Linked DNA regions of Callithrix jacchus. The protein of the gene in region 1 interacts with the protein of each later gene in a biochemical or structural test. Links are inferred from orthologs where the notes say so. Each region holds a gene or a part of one and is shown in the gene's direction. Other genes may lie near its edges.

Region 1 (9,247 bases):
TTCCCACCCTTACTCTCTTCGCCTTTCTCAGATTCGGTCCGCTTGCACCCAAGCGAGAAATAAAATGTCCTTGTTGCCCACACAAAGCCTGTTTGGAAAATCTCTATATTAAATGCATTTAATTTTCGGTATTATTAGACGTGAATAACAGTGGCGATCCTGGCCCACGGCAACCTCTGCTGCCTGGGTTCAAGGGATTCTCCTGCCTCAGCCTCCGGAGTAGCTGGGACTACAGGCGCAGGCCACCACGCCGGACTAAATTTTTTTTTAAATTTTTTGGTGGAGACGGGGTTTTGCTGTGTTGCCCAGGCGGGTCTGGAACTCCTGAGCTCAGGTAATCCGCTCGCCTCAGCCTCCCAAAAGTGCCGGGATTACAGGGGTGAGCCACCGCGCCCCGGCCACCTGACCTTTTTCTAATTCGGCTTCATAGCAGTTTACAGAAGTCCCGCCCCCGATAAGGCAGGTCACGTGACACCGCCTCATCACGTGACGCGGACTCTGCGGCGGGAGGAGGGCGGTCCTCACGCTGCATTGCGTCATCACGTCGCGCGGCCGCGGGGTCCAGACCCGAAGGCTCCAGAGCCTCCGGAGCCTCCGGGTCTGGGCGGCGGCGGCGGCGCTTCGGCTCCTTGTGAGCCGCCTGCTGGCCCTGCGCCCCACCCTATCCCCACAGGCTGGGGACAGGCCCGGCGCGGCTGTGTGGGCACGGGAGCTGAGGTGAGTTGCGCGGAAGTGATGGCAGTCAGTCTTTCCCTTCCTGTCCATCAACTCCGGGTTATGGCCCTTCCCCCATCCTTGGTCTCCCTGCAAGGGAATCGGAGGCTCGCCCTGGATAGGAGGAAGGCTGCGTGGGGCGTCTGGCCTCGGTCGCCCTCTCATCTCTCCGCATACCTCCACCTGGCGGTGCTGGTCATATGTATGCCTGCTGGTGTCAGGGGGAAGGACTTCGTTTCTTTCTCTAGAATTTAGTCTTTCCCGAATGTATTGCCCCTCCCCTGCCTCGAATCTCCCGAAGTGGAATCCCTCTATTCAGATGTTAACGGAAGTTCTAGAAAATAGGTCACTTCAGAAAGGTGAGAGTGAAGGATATGCTGAGACTTGGAGTGGTGAGGCAGGAATCCCCAAGAAGGAAGACCACTTTGCACCAGGGTTACTGTCATTTTGATGTGGAAACGACAAACCCCCCTCCCTCCCAGATTGTCATCAAGGTAAATAGACATTTGTTTCGGACCCTTTTTACACCCCTGGAGTTGAAATTAAATTGACTTAAGGCTTCTTGAAAAACATCATATGCTTTGATGAATCACCTGCTTTTCTGTAAAATTGGTCTTGCAGAGTTGTTGGAGGGATTATCTATGGTGCTTGTAGTGTAAAATGCCAACTATAAACATAAGTAAATGAGAATTTAAGATCTCATTTTTCCTATTGAAAAATTGTGAGTTGTGGACTTTTAGAGACCGTCGTTTGATTCCCAACCTTGGATCATTTCAGAAAGTTTTGGATTCCAATATTGATTCGTTAACAGTAATTGACATTTACAGATGTAGAGTAGGAATACCTTCTTGTTGAAGAGCTTCAATAGCTTAAGCAAGTAAGTCCACTTGGGTGGTTTCCACAGTTCATTGTAGGTAATGGGTCCTCAATTGGTTTTTTGTTGTTGTTGTTGCTGTTTTTAATTTTTTATTTATTTATTTTTTTTCTGATGCATTCTCGCTCTGTTGCCCAGGCTGGAGTGCAGTGGCATGATCTAGGCTCACTCGATGGAGCAATTCTCAACTGCCTCCTGGGTTCAAGCAATTCTCGTGCCTCAGCCTTCCCAGTAGCTAGGATTACAGGCATGTGCCACCACACCCGGCTAATTTTTGTGTTTTTAGTAGAGACAGGGTTTCATCATGTTGGTCAGGCTGATCTCGAACTCCTGACCTCAACTGATATGCCCACCTCAGCTTCCTAAAGTCCTGGGATTACAGGCGTGAGCTACTGGGCTGGGCCTGAAGTTTCACTTTAAGAAGAAATCCAGATATATTTGGAAGTCATCAGACGTAATTATTTGCATACTTTAGAAAAGTACATTTTTACCGAACTTTCTTGCTCTAAGTTGAATACACACTTTTTTTTTTTGCATTCAATTCTAAGCATTTATTGTGCAACTTCTAGGATAGAAAGCATACATATAAAGCAGGATCTTCACCCTCTAAATGCTTATCTACTTATGGATATTAAATAGTAATGATATAATACCTTTAAGGAATTTTATATTTTATTTTATTATTATTTTTTTTGGGACAGAGTCGCATACTGTTGCCCAGGCTGTAGTGCAGTGGTGCAATCTTGGCTCACTGCAGTCTCTGCCTCCTGGGTTCAAGCAATTCTCCTGCCTTACAGGTGTGTGCCACCATGCCCAGCTAATTTTTTGGTATTTTTAGTAGAGATGGGGTTTCACCACATTGGCCAGGTTGGTCTTGATCTGACCTCGTGATGCGTCCGCCTCTGCCTCCCAAAGTGCTGGGATTACAGGCGTGAGCCACTGCACCCGGCCTATATTTTCATTGTATCATTTGACACAAGAACCTTGTGAAGATTTACAGGACATAGATTGTTTACTTACATTTCAGCGTTCATCATAATAAATGTCAAGTGGTAGGGACACTCCATGATAGAGGAATTCGGAGGAAGAAGAGAGAACTTTTACATGGACTAGATAGTAGCTAGATAGTGGTGGTTATGTCAGGTATAGGAGTGCCTTCTACTTGTATATGTTTGAGTCTGAGGAAGCCCCTTAGATTCTCAATTTGTAAAGCTAATAAATATGTTGTTTCCCTAGTTTTTTGAATATGCTCATTGTTTTTTTCTCTTGTAATTGCAGAATCCAAGGACCCCTTTTGTTTCTCTGCACCACTTTCTGGGTGACATTATGGCCCCCAAAGACATAATGACAAATACTCATGCTAAATCCATCCTGAATTCAATGAACTCCCTCAGGAAGAGCAATACCCTCTGTGATGTGACATTGAGAGTGGAGCATAAAGACTTCCCTGCCCATCGGATTGTGCTGGCTGCCTGTAGTGATTACTTCTGTGCCATGTTCACTAGTGAGGTAAGTGGTAAGTTAGCCCCACACAAATGAAACTCTCCCATTGAACTCTACTTGTCTAATTTCACTGAATAAAATGTGATATAATTGTGAATTTTTACAGTGTGATGTTTAAGTAGGCAGATTCTGGATAAGATCTACCACCTGACTATGCCTTAGTTTCCTCATCTTTAAATTAGGGGTAATAGTAATATGTAATAACACATGATTATTAAGGTTATTGTGAAGATTACCTTATAAAATAACTTACGAAGTGCTTAGAATGGTGTAATATGTAGTAAAGCACAAATGTCAGCTATTGTATTTTACTATTTCTTAAATTTGTCTTCCAATTTTTCTCCTTTTTTTGTTTCTAATTTTATTTATTTGTAAAGACAGGGTCTCACTATATATTGCCCAGGCTGATCTTGAACTCCTGGGCTCAAGTGTTCCTCCTGCCTTGGACTCCCAAAGTGGCCACACCTGACATTACAGGTGTAAGCCACTGCACCTGGCCTTTTCTCCTTCTAAAGTTTAAAAATTCTTAAGTGAATACCAGAGGGCTAAGAAGGAAGGAAGGAGAGAGGAGTAGGATTCAGATCTCACCCCATTCCTCCTAACAATATGTGAAGAAAAATCAGTGTAGATTTTAGGATAACTTCAAATGAAAGGAAGAAGAGTTTTTAATGAATAGCTGTACAGGTATAGAGTACATCACCTGAAAAAAGATGTTAGCTCATAAGCATTTAACCAAGGGAATTAGGAAAAAGGTGACGTGACAGAATACAGGTAGTGCTAACAAAGTATTAAGAAACACTGCTTAGTAATTGCCTGACAAAATACTTGAAATGTGGAGTAAGGCTATATTGTGTTCAGTGCTCCTAGAAAGCTGCACAGGAAGGAACATTGCAAGCCTTTGTTTTTCAAGATCCCAAGTCTGATTATAAGAGCAGATTTAAATGAATTACCTTGATTTTTTTTTTTTTCATAGCTCAGTCATGGGTGCACCACTGTTTATTATATTATCTACACCCATATGTATGCCTGAAATAGTTTATTACAAAAACACTTTTTTAAACATCTTTTTAAGCACAAGTATTTTTTTTTTTTTTTTTTTTTTTTTAGTTCTATCATCTTAGTGAAGATATTGCTACTGGATCAGGATGGGAGAGGCATATTCTATGATGGTAATAACTACCTTTTATGGGCCAGGTACTGTGCTAGTGATTGTTGTGCATATCTCACTCACCCTAGGGGTTGTTATTACCATCTCATTTTTACAAATGAAGGAACAGGGTTTCATATATTAAATCACTTGCCCAAACTCCCATGGATTATAAGTGCTCAAGGTAGAATTTAATTCTATATTTTCTGTCTTATAAAGTCCAAACTTTTTTTTTTTTTTTTAATTTTGGTTTTTAAGATGGAGTTTTGCTCTTGTTGCCCAGGCTGGAGTGCAATGGTGCAATCTTGACTTACCGCAACCTCCCTGTCTCAGGTTCAAGCAATTCTACTGTCTCAGCCTCCCTAGCAGCTGGGATTACAGGCATGTGCCGCCACATCTGGCTAATTTTGTATTTTTATTATAGATGGTTTCTCTATGTTGGTCAAGCTGGTCTTGAACTCCCAACCTCAGGTGATCCGACTGCTTTGGCCTCCCAAAGTGCTGGGATTATAGGTGTGAACCACCACACCTGGCCAAAGCCGGAATGGTTTTTAACTATTATGCTGCCTTAGTCTCTGAAGTATGAATTTTATATCCTACAGTCTACTTTTAAAACCAGTATAGTTAAAAATACTATGGGCTGATGCTCAGTCACATGGCTAGTAGGGAAAACAGGAACTGATAGGTCATTCCAGCTAATCCAGGCTAATTTTTAAATGAACTTGTGTGATAAAACAAGGTAGATCCCTGTCCTATACTGTTCTTCATGGGATATACCAAGAGCATCAGAAGCATTTGGAATTTACCTGGGTAAAGAGAGTGTCACCCAGCAGCTGCTGAGCATCAAATAAACTAGAACTGTTGACTGCTAATTATGTATTGTGTATCCTGTTTTTTGTCAGCTTGAAAATATTCTGTCTTTACTCTTAATTCAGAAATTAATTCTTTTTTTCTCATTTTTGATTTCTTTCTTTAAAAACTGACATCAGGCTGGCCGGGCGCTATGGCTCACGCCTGTAATCCCAGCTCTTAGGGAGGCAGAGGCGGGAGGGTAGCTTGAGCCCGGGAGTTCAAGACCTGCCTGGGCAATATAGCGAGACCCCGTTCTCTACAAAAAGGAAAAAAGACAAAAAGACAAAATAATAATAATAATAATAAAACTTGACATCAGGCAAAAAAATGCCAGATGGTTTTGTTTTTATTTTTCAGAGTAATTGGTTTAAAGGAGAGAGTCCAGAGACCTGGAATCTAGGCTTAGTTCTCTTAGCAATTCTGTATAAACCCTGTCAACCATCTAACTTCACTGGGTTGATCTGTAAAATAAAGTAGTTGAACTAGATGGTTTCCTTGTTCTCTTCAGCCATGAAATGCTCCTCAAATGTCATCTGATTGAAAGATCACAGGACTGAGGCAAGAGGACCTGGGTTTTATGTCTCTCTTTTTTTTTTCTGAAATACTTTGATAGCAATGATATCTGTCTCTCACTGGCTGAGTGACTCTGGTTAAGTCCTATATCTGCTTTGATTCTTAGATCCTTTATCTCTTAAGTAGTAATAATATCAGATCTAACTACCTTACCAGGTTGTTGGGAGAATCAGATGAAATAGTAGAAAATGAGAAGCACTGAAAAATTCTAAAGCAAAATATAAATGTGAAATGTACTATTGCTCTAATCAATATTTAAACTATTTGATGGAAATATAGGTTATTGAGTGAGAAATTTCAATTTCTGGAATACGTGTACTTACATATTTCAGTATCATAATTTTTTTTTTTAAATTTTTTATTGGATTTTAGGTTTTGGGAGTATCATAATTGAATGTATTTAATGTGTTGGGACAGTAATTGTTTATAAATATTAGTACTGTATTAAGTGTTAATAAAACCTAATATGTTTTTTCAAAATAATGTGCTCTTGACTTTTTTTACTGTTAGGGATTGATTTTGTTCTTGGCTTTGTAGAGAGTGCTTTTTGGTTATTCTCTGGCTGACGGAGAAATCAAACATGATAAAGCAATTTAGTTCATAATGGAGGTACACCAGATTTTTGTTAGTAAAATAAATTTCTAAACTAAGATTCAGTAAAAATTTTTATAAGGTATTTTTAGATAATTTACTCTCCTTTAAAGTTGAAGATTTCTTCTCTTAGCTCAACAGTTTTCTATGATTATCTGGCCTCATCAATACTCAACAGCTTCAAGGAGATATACTACTAACAATTCAGTTAGTCTAACAATATTTTGAAAAAGTAACAAACACTTTATTTGTATTCAGATGGTGTTACATAAGAAAGTCCCTTAGGATGACCTGCATATTCTTTTTCATCATTACTAAATGTAGTCTGAGGGCCAGGCATGGTGGCTCCCTCCTGTATTCCCAGCACCTTGGTAAGCAGAGGTGGGTGGATCACCTGAGGTCAGAAGTTCAAGATCAGCTTGGTCTACATGGCGAAGCCTTGTCTCTACTAAAAATACAAAAATTATCTGGGCACGGGGGCTCACGCCTATAATCCCAGCACTTCGGGAGGCTGAGGTGGGCCAGTCACTTGAGGTCAGGAGTTTTGAGACCAGCCTGGCAACATAGTGAAACTCTGCCTCTACTAAAAATATAAAAATTAGCTGGGAGTGGTGGCACATCCTTGTAGTCCCAGCTACTCAGGAGACTGAGGAAAGAGAATTGCTTGAACCTGGGAGGCAGAACTTGAAGTGAGCCAAGATCGTGCCACTGCACTCCAGCCTGGGCAACAGAATGAGACTCCATCTCAAAAAAAAAACAAAACAGAAATTAGCTGGGTGTGGTGGTGTACTCTTGTAATCCTAGCTACTTGGGAGGCTGAGGCAGGAGAATAACTTGAACCTGGGAAGAAGTACAGTTTGCCGAGATCGCATCAGTGCACTCTAGCCTGGGCAACAGAGCGAGACCCTATCTCCAGAAAAAAAAAAAAATGTAGTCCAGGGACAGATGATAGGAACTAGGTAATCCTGGAGAGACTGGAGTTATAACCCACAGGTCCTCTACAAATGTGAAATTTTTTTGAAATTCTGTGTCTTAGCTGGGCGCAGTGGCTCATGCCTTTGGGAGCACTTTGGGAGGCTGAGGTGGGCGGATCACCTGAGGTCGGGAGTTCAAGATCAGCCTGACCAACATAAAGAAACCCTGTCTCTACAGAATTAGCAGGGCATGGTGGTGCATGCGTCTAATCCTAGCTACTTCGGCACCTGAGGCAGGAGAATGGCTTGAACCCGGGAGGTGGAGGTTGTGGTAAGCCAAGATGTGTCATTGTACTCCAACCTGGGCAACAAGAGTGAAACTCTGTCTCAAAGACAAAGAAAAGAAATTTTGTGTTTTATCTTAAAAGTTGATGGACTAGTGTTATATTCATGGAAGTTTTGCATTCTATTCTGTGATACTTTTTTTTTTGGTATTTTTAGTAGAGATGGGGTTTCACTATATTGGCCAGACTAGTCTTGAACTTCAGACCTTGTGATCCGCCATCTTGGCCTCCCAAAGTGCTAGGATTACAGGTGTGAGCCACCATGCCTGGCCTATGTCTGTATTTTAATATGAAATTGATTTTTAAAGTTATTCACTGGCAACATTGCTATTCTAGGAAGGTGTCACATATTATTTACTCCGAGGGTATAGATAACTGCCCATTTCATTTGGAAAGCTACAGACATGTGACATATTTGCTTTATTCAAATCCAACAAAACAGGTCATAATTTTTATTTTTATTTATTTATTTATTTATTTTTTTGAGACGGAGTTTCGCTCTTGTTACCCAGGCTGGAGTGCAATGGCACGATCTCGGCTCACCGCAACCTCTGCCTCCTGGGTTCAGGCAATTCTCCTGCCTCAGCCTCCCGAGCAGCTGGGATTACAGGCGTGCGCCCCCATGCCCAGCTAATTTTCTGTATTTTTCGTAGAGACTGGGTTTCACCAGGTTGACCAGGATGGTCTCGATCTCTTGACCTCGTGATCCACCCGCCTCGGCCTCCCAAAGTGCTGGGATTACAGGCTTGAGCCACCGCGCCTGGCCTATTTTTTTAATTTTTAAATTTTTTTGAAAGAATCTCACTGGTGCCCAGGCTGGAGTGCAGTGGCACAATCTGGGCTTACTGCAACCTCCACCTCCCAGGTTGAAGCAAGCAATTCTCCTGCCTCAGCCTCCTGAGTACCTGGGACTATAGGCATGTACCACCACGCCCAACTCATTTTTGTATTTCTAGTGGAGTTGGAGTTTCATCATGTTTTCCAGGCTGGTCTTGAATTCCTCACCTCAAGTGATCTGCCTGCCTAGGCCTCCCAAAGTGCTAGGATTACAGGTGTGAGCCACCACTCCTGGCCCTTAATTTTTAAAGATATATGTTCAATTAATATTATTAACATCTGTAAGCTCTTAGATATGAGATTGTGCCTTTATCTTGTGGAATTATAACCATCATTCTTTTATACCTTTTACATTTTCAGCTTTCAGAGAAGGGCAAGCCTTATGTTGACATCCAAGGTTTGACTGCCTCTACTATGGAAATTTTATTGGACTTTGTGTACACAGAAACAGTACATGTGACGGTGGAGAATGTGCAAGAACTACTCCCTGCAGCCTGTCTGCTTCAGTTGAAAGGTATAGACATTAAAACTTGCTATGTCAAAATAGCCCTGGAAAGGTTGAAAATTAATAGTGTAAACTTAATCGTGACCATTTTGGAGACAAACTGGATGCTCACGTTTACTGGCTATCCCTTTTGTCTCATTAAGCAGTAAAAAATCAGATGTCAATAGCAGTATAAAGGAACTTCTGATATGCATATGTGGCTCTATGAAAGGAGCACTTGCATGTTTTTTTTTTTTTAAAAAAATGTAAGAAGAAATTATGTATTTTCTTACATACATGTATATAACACATCTGTAAGAAGTATAAAAAACTGATATTTTACATAGCCTACAGGGATACTCTTCATTTACCTGGCCATTAAGTAGCCAGGTTGATAATGAGGCTAGGGGGACT
Region 2 (9,955 bases), on another chromosome or scaffold:
GGCGGGTCCACGTCCTTCATCCGTGGGTCTCTCCATGGACACTCTGGGCGGCGGCTTAGCGCTGCCACGGACACGGACACGCCCCGCAGGTCCCGTTTTCCGGCGCTCTGCGTGTACAGTTACGAGGATTTGCTGGTGACGGTAATTCCGTGTTCAACACTCACCCCACGTTTCCCGCGGCAGCTCCGCAGACGGCACCTCCCAGCCGTGCAGCAAGGGCGGGGCTCGTCGTTTTCTGGGTTTTGCTGCCGTCGCGATCCGTGGGTGCCACTGCGCGCTTGAGTTCATCTCCCTAATGACCCGCGCTGTGGAGCATCTTGTCCAGCGTCTGTGACCCATTTATACACCGTGGACTGAGTGGAAGGGAAACGCCGTCAGGCCCTTTGATTTTCCACGAGACTCGAGTGCTTTTTCTTTTTTCTTTTATTTTTATTTATTTATTTATTTATTTTTGAGACGGAGTTTCGCTCTTGTTTCCCAGGCTGGAGTGCAATGGCGCGATCTCGGCTCACCGCAACCTCCGCCTCCTGGGTTCAGGCAATTCTCCTGCCTCAGCCTCCTGAGTAGCTGGGATTACAGGCACGCGCCACCATGCCCAGCTAATTTTTTGTATTTTTAGTAGAGACGGGGTTTCACCATGTTGACCAGGATGGTCTCGATCTCTTGACCTCGTGATCCACCCGCCTCGGCCTCCCAAAGTGCGGGGATTACAGGCTTGAGCCACTGCGCCTGGCCTTTTTTTTTTTTTTTTTGAGACAGCCTCGCTCTGTTGCCCAGGCTGGAGTGCAGTGGGGCCATCTCGGCTCCCTGCAACCTCTGCCTCCCGGGTTCAAGCAATTGTCACACCTTGGTCCCCCAGGTAGCTGGGATTACATGCGTGCACCGTCGTGCCCGGCTAATTTTTGTATTTTTAGCAGAGACGGTATTTCACCCTGTTGGCCAGGCTGGTCTGAGACTCCTGACCTCAGGTGATCCGCCCGCCCTGGCCTCACTTTCTCCGCACACTGTCACTCGAAGTCGCTGCAGCCGCTATGTTTAGCTTCCGCGGTTCTGGCTGCGAGGCTGCTCCTTGCTGTGGTCTCGGTTGCATTTCCCCAATGGCTGGGACACAACCTCTTTCCAGGCGCTTATGTCCATTGGCAGCTTGTTGTGGGTTAAATGTGGCTTCACGTCTCTTGCCCATTTTTAAATTGTTCTCTACAGCTGAGTTTATTTTTATCGTGAGAAAATACGCACAACGTGAAACTTAGCATTTTAGCCATTTTGAAGTATAAACCGATACTCCGCACAGTCACGAAGTCGTACAGCCACCACTGCTGTTTCCTTCCAGAACTTTCTACTCCCCAGATGGAAAACTTCTGAGTAACGGGGTTTACGGGTGTGCGCCACCCACCGCATCCCCCAGGCTGGAGTGCGCTGACTAGATCTCGGCTCACCGCAGCCTCCGCCTCCCAGGTTCAAGCGATTCTCCAGCCTCAGCCTCCCTAGTGGCTGGGATTACAGGCACCGGCCACCATGCCTGGTTAATGTTCGTATTTTTAGTAGAGATGGGGTTTCACCACGTTGCCCAGGCTGGTCTCAAATTCCTGACCTCAGGTGATCCACCCACCTCAGCCTCTCAAAGTGCTGGGATCACAGGTGTGAGCCGCTGTGCCTGGCCATTTATTTTTGTATCGTCAGCGGAGAGGGGGTTTCGCTATGTTGGCCAGGCTGGTCTCGAACTCTTGGCCTCAAGCAATCCACTCACCTTGGCCTCCCAAAGAGCTGGGATTACAGGCCTGAGCCGCGGTGCCCCGCCCCTTTTGCATATCGTGGATAGTGCTGCTGTGAACATTTACAGACAAGCCTTTGTTTGAACACCTGTTTTCACTTGTTTTTGGTCTGTAACACATGCCCGCTGAGTCGCATGAAACTGTGTGTGTACCTTGATGCGGAACTGCTCAGCTTTCCCCCGCAGCGAGCACAGCACTTCGCACGGCGCCGGCAGTGAGCTTTCCCCTCCGTACATTTATTTCTATTTATTTTATATTATCGCCATTCTAATGGGTAGGCAATGGCATCTTATTGTAGTTTTGATTTGCATTTCCCCAGTGACTAAGGGCGACGAGGATCTTTTCAAGCACTTCTTGGTCATTTGTGTGTGTCTGTGTGTGTGTGTGTGTGTGTGTGTGTGTGTGTGTGTATATATATATATTTTTTTTTTTTTTTTTTGAGACAGAGTTTCGCTCTTGTTGCCCAGGCTGGAGTGCAATGGCGCGATCTCGGCTCACTGCAACCTCCGCCTCCTGGGTTCAGGCAATTCTCCTGCCTCAGCCTCCTGAGTAGCTGGGACTACAGGCACGCGCCACCGTGCCCAGCTAATTTTTTGTATTTTTAGTAGAGACGGGGTTTCACCATGTTGAGCAGGAAGGTCTCGATCTCTCGACCTCTGATTCACCCGCCTCGGCCTCCCAAAGTGCTGGGATTACAGGCGTGAGCCACCGTGCCCGGCCAGTTTGTCATTGTTTCAAAAGCGATCTCTGTATGCTGCATCTGCTGTACCAGAGATGGGTGCTACAACCCCCTTTCCCGCCTAGCTTTCTTTTCACTGTCTTGATGGTGGCAGACATCTTGGGGGCCAGCTTGGCTGTCTGCACCATAGCTAGATGCCTGCCCACACCTGCCTGGAGCAGCCCGTTCCCCTACAGACCCCAAGACCTTGCCTGTGACTCTCCAGTGCCTGCTTCTCAGCGTCCTCACTTCTCCCGTCAGTGCCTCCACCTGGCCTATGTCCCCCATACCTTTGAGGTCAGGATCCTCAATTCCTGGCACTGCTGCTCCCAGAAACAAAGACACGAGGGTTGGGACGTGCATGGCCCGGAGTCCCGCACAGTGGTGCCGCCTGTAGTGCCTCTAACCCCCTTTAGTGGAAGGCTGCAGAAAACACCGCTCAGTTCAGGTGTCACCCCGATTTTATGAAGTCCACAAACCTCTCTCTGCGCTTTGCAAGCACTTTCTCTTCCGAACGTTTGGAACCCGCCAGGGCCGGCTTCTCCTTCCAGCTGCCTCCTCGAGGACTGAACCTACGGTCGGTGGGGCCGGGACCCCTGCCCAGGGTCCCAGGGGCGCCTACCTGGCTCGGGGTCACGGCCAGAGGAGCCGCGGCCGAGGGTGGTGGTCGCCGGGCGAGGACCAGAGGCTGCTGCGGGCGGGGCGCGGCGTCGGCGGCTGGGTCTGGCGCCGTGTCCGAGGCGGGAGCGGGCGTGGAGGGTGCGCGCAAGGCCAGAGCGAGTCCGCGGGGCAGGCGGAGCTTGGGTCTTCCAGCGTCTGGCGAGACCGGCCCGGCCCGGGAAGGACGTTTTCCCAGAAGCCAAGTGAACTGGGCGGGGTGCGCGGGTCGGCGCTGGGTCGATGCCCGCATTTAGGGGCCGGGTCTGGCCGCCTCTCCATCCCTGTCGGGTTATCGGGGTGCAGACCCGCGCGTCCCCGCCGACCCCGCGGGACAACCACCTCGCTTAATTCCCGTCCCTTTGGGCCGTCGCATTCGTCCACCTGCCCGTCTTTCCCTGCGCATAATTCCACGATGAGCAGATACTGGGCGCGGGCGCACGGTGGAGCGCCGCAGGGACCCCCCACTTCCCCCCGCGCCCCCAGGAGCTGGGTCGGGGGCGGGACCAGGGCCTGGCGGGGCGTGCCCGAGGGGAGGGACTCCCGGGCTGGGTGCCCGGCGCTGTCCGTGGCGCTCAGCGCCCGCGGGGCGCGTGAGGCCCGCACGCCATGGGGAACCGCAGCGCCGCGGACGCGGGCGGGCTGCTGGCGGGGCGCGGGCCGGGAGCGGGGCTGGCGGGGCCGGGTGCGGCGGCGCTGGTGGGGGGCGTGCTGCTCATCGGCGCGGTGCTCGCGGGGAACTCGCTCGTGTGCGTGAGCGTGGCCACCGAGCGCGCCCTGCAGACGCCCACCAACTCCTTCATCGTGAGCCTGGCGGCCGCCGACCTCCTGCTCGCGCTCCTGGTGCTGCCGCTGTTCGTCTACTCTGAGGTGAGCCGCGTCCGCGCCCGATCCCTTGTTCCCGGTCCCTGTCCCCGCGGAGGACCCGGCGCGACCCGGCCCCTTTCTGCTCTGGAGCTTCCAGCCCGGGCGGCGGCAGCTGCGCTCCGCCTGTTCCCACCACCGCCCCCTCGGGCCCTCCCACCCGCTGCGCTGTCCGTCCCGGACCCTCGTTCCACTCCTCCCTTCCCCCTCTGTGTTGGTGTCTGCTACCCAGGACATGCCCCGTCCTTGGATCCAGGGACCCCAGAAACAGACGACTTTGTCAAGCCCAGCCCCCTCCATAGCTGGATTTCACCCCCAGGGAAACCAGCTGGACAGACAGGCTCAGCCCCCTGGATGCCCTGGGACATGGACACAACACACACCGCGCACACACACACCTGCAAACACACTGCACTCGGCCACAGCCACTGCCCACCACGCACACCCAGTGCAGACACTTGCACACCCCCACAAGGAGGCTCAGCTTGCAGGGGAGCAGGGGAGGCCTGGGCTGGACAGAATCCAGGGGAGGGGAGGGTGTGTGGGGGCCAGGACCCTGCTGAGAACCCTGGGGGATGAGAGAGAATTGGGGGATGGAGCCCACACCCCACACCAGGTCTGGCCCTGGAGTGGGTCGGCCTCGGTGCCAGCCCCTCTGCTGCCAGAGAAAAGCAGCTTAGGGCTGAGCTGGGGACGCGGTGTCCTGGACTATGGGGGAGGGGGACTGGGGTTTCCCCTCGGTGGCCACGGTGAGTCCTGGCGGCTGGGGCAGGGACCAGCAGCGCCAGACACGCATGACCTGTGCTCCTTTCGAGCCACAGACGTCACAGTGACGACGCTTAAGCTTATAATCTTCCCAAATCGGCGGGAAGGGATTAGGGGGACTACCTGCCCCTTTGCCCTTGGAGAGTAACTCCGTGTGGAGTACCACGCTGGGCATTGGGCGAGGTCGACACATTTTTTAAAACTAATTTATCTTTAAGACAATCGTCATGTGGATACTGCCATCACCCTTGTTACAGACGAGGAAGCAGAAACGAAGTAACCACCCGAACCTCCCGCACTGAGCCTCACCAGACAGTCTGGCTGGCGGTCTGAGGCTGGTCTGAGGCTGGTCAGCAGCCAGCTTCACGTTGCAGGCCCAGCGGGGACTCTGCCTACCCCAGGCTGGGCAGAGGGCTCTCCTTGAGCCCCATGACATCAGGCCCCGCCCCCAGGCCTTTCTCATGTTTGTAACAAGAGGGAGACCAAGTCCAGGAGAGTGACTCACGCCTGTAATCCCAGCACTTTGGAGGCCAAGGCAGGAGGATCACTGGAGCCCAGGAGTTTGAGACCAGCCCGGGAAACATACCAGACCCCGTCTGTACAAAAAGTTAAACAGGCAGGGCGCGGCGGCTCATGCCCGTAATCCCAGCACTTTGGGTGGCAAAGGAGGTGGATCAGGAGGTCAGGAGTTCGAGAGTAGCCTGGCCAACATGGTGAAACCGCGTCTCTCCTAAAAGTACAAAAATGAGTTGGGGGTGGTGGTGCACACCTGTAGTTCCAGCTACTCTGGATACTGAAGTGGGAAGATCACTTGATCCCAGAGTTCCAGGCTACAGTGAGTCACTGCACTCCAGCCTGGGCGACAGAAAGAAACCCCCACTGGAAAAAAAAAAAAAAAAAAAAGGGCGACGTGAGTGGGGGAGGTGGTGTTTCGGGCCCGGCAGTGGCTGTGAGGGTCCCTGGCCGCGCAGCGCGAGAAACCTCAGGTCTCGTGTTGCTGCGCCCTCGGTGTCCCGTGCAGGTGCAGGGCGGCGCGTGGCTGCTGAGCCCTCGCCTGTGCGACGCTCTCATGGCCATGGACGTCATGCTGTGCACCGCTTCCATCTTCAACCTGTGCGCCATCAGCGTGGACAGGTGCGCCGCCCTCCCCGCCCGCGCCCCCGCACCCCTCCCGCCGTCGCCGCCGCCCTCACCGCGGCCTTCGCGCTGTCCCGCGCCCCCTCGGCGCTCCCCACAGGTTCGTGGCCGTGGCCGTGCCGCTGAGCTACAACCGCCAGGGTGGGAGCCGCCGGCAGCTGCTGCTCATCGGCGCCACGTGGCTGCTGTCCGCGGCGGTGGCGGCGCCGGTGCTGTGCGGCCTCAATGACGTGCGCGGCCGCGACCCCGCCGTGTGCCGCCTGGAGGACCGCGACTACGTGGTCTACTCGTCTGTGTGCTCCTTCTTCCTGCCCTGCCCGCTCATGCTGCTGCTCTACTGGGCCACGTTCCGCGGCCTGCGGCGCTGGGAGGTGACCCGTCGCGCCAAGCTGCACCGCCGCGCGCCACGCCGGCCCAGCTGCCCCCGCCCGCCTTACCCGGCGACCGGCCTCCCCGAGGACCCCTGCGGCCCCGACTGCGCGCCCCCCGCGCCCGGCCTCCACCAGGGCCCCTGCGGCCCGGACTGCGCGCCCCCCGCCCCCGGCCTCCGCCAGAACCCGCGTGGCCCCATCTGTGCGCCCTACGACAACGTCCAGGCCACTGAGCTCCCACCCCAGACCCCGCCGCAGACCCGCAGGAGGAGGCGTGCCAAGATCACCGGCCGGGAGCGCAAGGCCATGAGGGTCCTGCCGGTGGTGGTCGGTGGGTTCCCATTTTGGGGGACGGCGGGGGGAAAGGAGAGGAGTACAGGGCACAGAGGGCGGGGGGGCGCTGACGCGGCTCTCGGCGCCCCCAGGGGCCTTCCTGCTGTGCTGGACGCCCTTCTTCGTGGTGCACATCACGCAGGCGCTGTGTCCCGCCTGCTCCGTGCCCCCACGGCTGGTCAGCGCCGTCACTTGGCTGGGCTACGTCAACAGCGCCCTGAACCCCGTCATCTACACGGTCTTCAACGCCGAGTTCCGCAACGTCTTCCGCAAGGCCCTGCGTGCCTGCTGCTGAGCCGGGCACCGCCCCGCAGGCTGGGCGCCGCGCCCCAGGGACCAAGGAGATGGGAGGGCGGCTTTGTACGTTAATTAAACAAATTCCTTCCCAAACTCAGCTGTGAAGGTTCCTGGGGGTTGTGGGGAAAAGGGAGGAGGGGCTTCTGCCTCAGTTGCCCCAGACCCCCCAGCCAGTTAACCCCTTCCTTCCCGCCGAGGAGGCCCACAGACACCCCACTATCAGGCCCACTCAGTTTGCAGCGCCCTGGCCCAGCCTCCCCCTCTATGCAAGGGAGAGGAGGGAGGGGAGAGGAAATAGCATTCAGGAAGGCAAGGTGTCTCCTGGGCAGCCCAGTCCCAATGGGAAGAAATCAGCCACCAGGTCCTGCCCAGACCAACTCCCGCCTTAGCAGACCAGGCACAGGAGGCTCCAGACTCTGTCCCACAGAACCCCACAGGGGTGCTCAACCCATCATTTTAGAAGCTGCCTTGAGGCTGGGGCACAGCTTCCTGCCAGTCCCTGGGCGAGGATGCCCCAAGCCCCACAGGAAGGGGCCTGTGGTGCTGGGTGGGGCCCACCAAGGAGCTTCCCTGGAGGGGGCTCCATGCTCAGTCACCCTGGTGCCCAGCCAACCGCTGCCCAGCGTCCATACATGTGGGGGGGCCAAGGGGTGGGAGCAGGGAGGATTCAGCAGGGCGAGGGTGGGCAGTGGGGAGGGAATGGGCAGAGTGGGGGAAGGAATGGGCAGAGTGGGGAGGGAATGGGCAGAGCGGGGCTGGGATGGGCAGAGCAGAGCCAGGGGTAGACAGAGCCACCCAAGCTTCCTGTCTGCATTGGGCTGCCTGGCTCCCTCAACCATAGCGCAGCCCCCGACCCTGGGAGAGGCGGGGTGGCTCCCAGGGGCCTCCATGCAGGAACAGCCCACCCTGGACTGGATCCAGCTCTCTCCCAGACCCAGGCTATGGGAGAAAAGGGGGGGCCCTTCGCCTCCCAGTCCTGCTGGCTGGACCTTTCCTGTGCTGGGGATGCGGCTTCTGAGCCAGGGCAGCTGGCCGGGGTGCTGAGCTCCCATGGGAACAGAGACTCCAGGCTGTGCAGTCTACAGCGTGAGGCACTCCCTCAGCTTGCTAAACAGTCCGTGCAGGCTGCAGGCGGTGGTCACACCTGTAATCCCAGCTACTCGGGAGGCTGAGGCGGAAGGATCCCTTGAGGCTGGGAGGTTGAAGCTGCAGTGAGCTGAGATTGCGCCACTGCACTCCAGCCTGGGTGACAGAGTGAGACTCAGTCTCGAAAAAAAAAAAAGAAAAAAAAATCAGAATAAACCACTCGGTCCCAAGACACCCACAGACTCAAAAGACGGGGCCTCTGTGGAGCCCATAGCCGGTGAGCCTCTCCCCGAGCACAGCACCTTCCAGGGTGCTCATGCCCAGCTGGGGCAGAAAGCGCTTCAGAAGACAGCATCAGAACCGCTGGCGCAGGTGCCTCCCGGCGCTGCTGACCCACCCCGGTGCCCGCTGAGCTGTTGCTGGATCTGCACTTTCCTGCCTCAGGGCAGCGACAGCTGTGGAGCCTTCTGCGTGCAGGGAACACAGGCCACGAGGGAAGAGGTTTCCAGAACAAGAGTAATGCTGCTCCAGCAGGGCAGGTGGGTCCCATGTCCAGGCCCAGCCCAGCAGCTAAACATGCAGGATGCACCTGGTGCCCCCCGCAGCCTTCAGCCCCTTCTCTCTCCTCCACCTGGTACCAGGGCCATGAGAAACAAGGAGACCAGGAGGACATGAGGCTGTGCGTGTGGAGGCCGGACCGAGGCCACCGCGCTGTCCACGTGATGAGGCTGTGCGTGTGGAGGCCTGACTGAGGCCACTGAGGTGTCCACATGTGCTAAACAGGCTACGCTGGGTCCTTGGGCTCACTCAGTCAGCCTGGGCACAGGAGGGCACCATGTGCCCCGAAGCCTGGCGTGACGCTCCCAGCAGCTGCGAGGCTCTTGTGGAACAGAAGGAATGAAGACTCTCCTGGACTACACGTGCCAGCCACTGGGCACCACACTTTGGCCGGTCACACTTCCCCATGCACTGGAGGTGTGGTGGACTCAGGCTGCCCACCTGCGTGGGCAGGAGGAAGGAGCCATCCCAGAGGGCTGGCACTGAAACTGGCCGCGTGGGAAGGGAGGCCTTATTTACACTTTATTGACAGACACACACGTATGTACATGCGTCACAGCACACGCCCGTGGGCAAGACCGGACGCTCATGATCCTGGGGCTAAAAGTCTCTCCTGGAGCGGGCAGGGGCCCAGGCGGGGGGAGTCCGCTCCCCAGGGCACCATTACGTAAAGTTTCTTAATAACTTGTCCAGCAAGTTTCCTCACCTTCCCACACCCTCTTCTCAACGCCCCCCGAGAGTCCTTGCGGGGACTTCCACCTGCAAAAGCCTCGCAGGAGTGCAAGGGCGTCCAGCTCACAGGGCGGCTGGGGGAGCCTCACACGGTCACCTTCTCCATCACGCTCTCAGCCACGTGGACTTCGTCTGCCTGCACCGTGACAGCTGCTGACTGGCCACACATGTGCTGGTGATCTTTCCAGTCCTGGAAGGGAGGACACATCCACGTCAGCAAGGTCAGGGGGTGGAGCAGGGCCTTTAAGTGGGACCTGGGCAGGGTCCCCGAGGTGGACCCCAGGCCCCCAACCCTAGCGGCTGCAGCCACGTGTGAGCTCACAGGGGTGCTGAGAGAATGCCCTCCCCAGCCCCGTGCACCTGCACTAGTGGCCTCTGCTCCAATCCTGCCTTCCCACTCTCTTGGTTTGAATCTCTTGGTTGGATCAAAAGGCAAGCAAGAGGCCGGCGTGGTGCTCACCCTGCAATCCCAGCGCTCTAGGAGGCTGAGGTGTGCGGATCACCTGAGGTCAGGAGTTCAAGACCAGCCTGGCCAACATGGTGAAACTCCATCTCTACTAAAAATACAAAAATTAGTCAGGCGTGGTGGCAGGCACCTGTAATCCCAGCTATTTGGGAGGCTGAGGCAGGAGAACGCTTTGAACCCGGGAAGCAGAGACTGTAGT

Evidence for each region. The genes of interacting proteins can lie anywhere in the genome.
Region 2: of the proteins of KLHL12 (region 1) and DRD4, one has a biochemical effect on the other in vitro, tested with the Homo sapiens proteins (2 studies listed by BioGRID, with this or other methods). The link is inferred for Callithrix jacchus from reciprocal best matches to the Homo sapiens genes KLHL12 and DRD4.

The regions. Positions count from the first base shown.
Region 1 is NC_133520.1:29,961,194-29,970,440, reverse strand, and holds part of KLHL12 (kelch-like protein 12), read left to right. Parts: intron 1-528; exon of another isoform or gene 529-1,088; coding exon of another isoform or gene 1,089-1,208; intron 1,209-2,866; coding exon 2,867-3,097; intron 3,098-8,709; coding exon 8,710-8,863; intron 8,864-9,247. UniProt on the Homo sapiens protein: Substrate-specific adapter of a BCR (BTB-CUL3-RBX1) E3 ubiquitin ligase complex that acts as a negative regulator of Wnt signaling pathway and ER-Golgi transport.
Region 2 is NC_133511.1:131,255,703-131,265,657, reverse strand, and holds DRD4 (D(4) dopamine receptor), read left to right. Parts: upstream 1-3,715; 5' UTR 3,716-3,756; coding exon 3,757-4,017; intron 4,018-5,797; coding exon 5,798-5,910; intron 5,911-6,013; coding exon 6,014-6,986; 3' UTR 6,987-7,007; downstream 7,008-9,955. Other genes in the region: DEAF1 (deformed epidermal autoregulatory factor 1 homolog), read right to left, coding at 9,376-9,480. UniProt on the Homo sapiens protein: Dopamine receptor responsible for neuronal signaling in the mesolimbic system of the brain, an area of the brain that regulates emotion and complex behavior.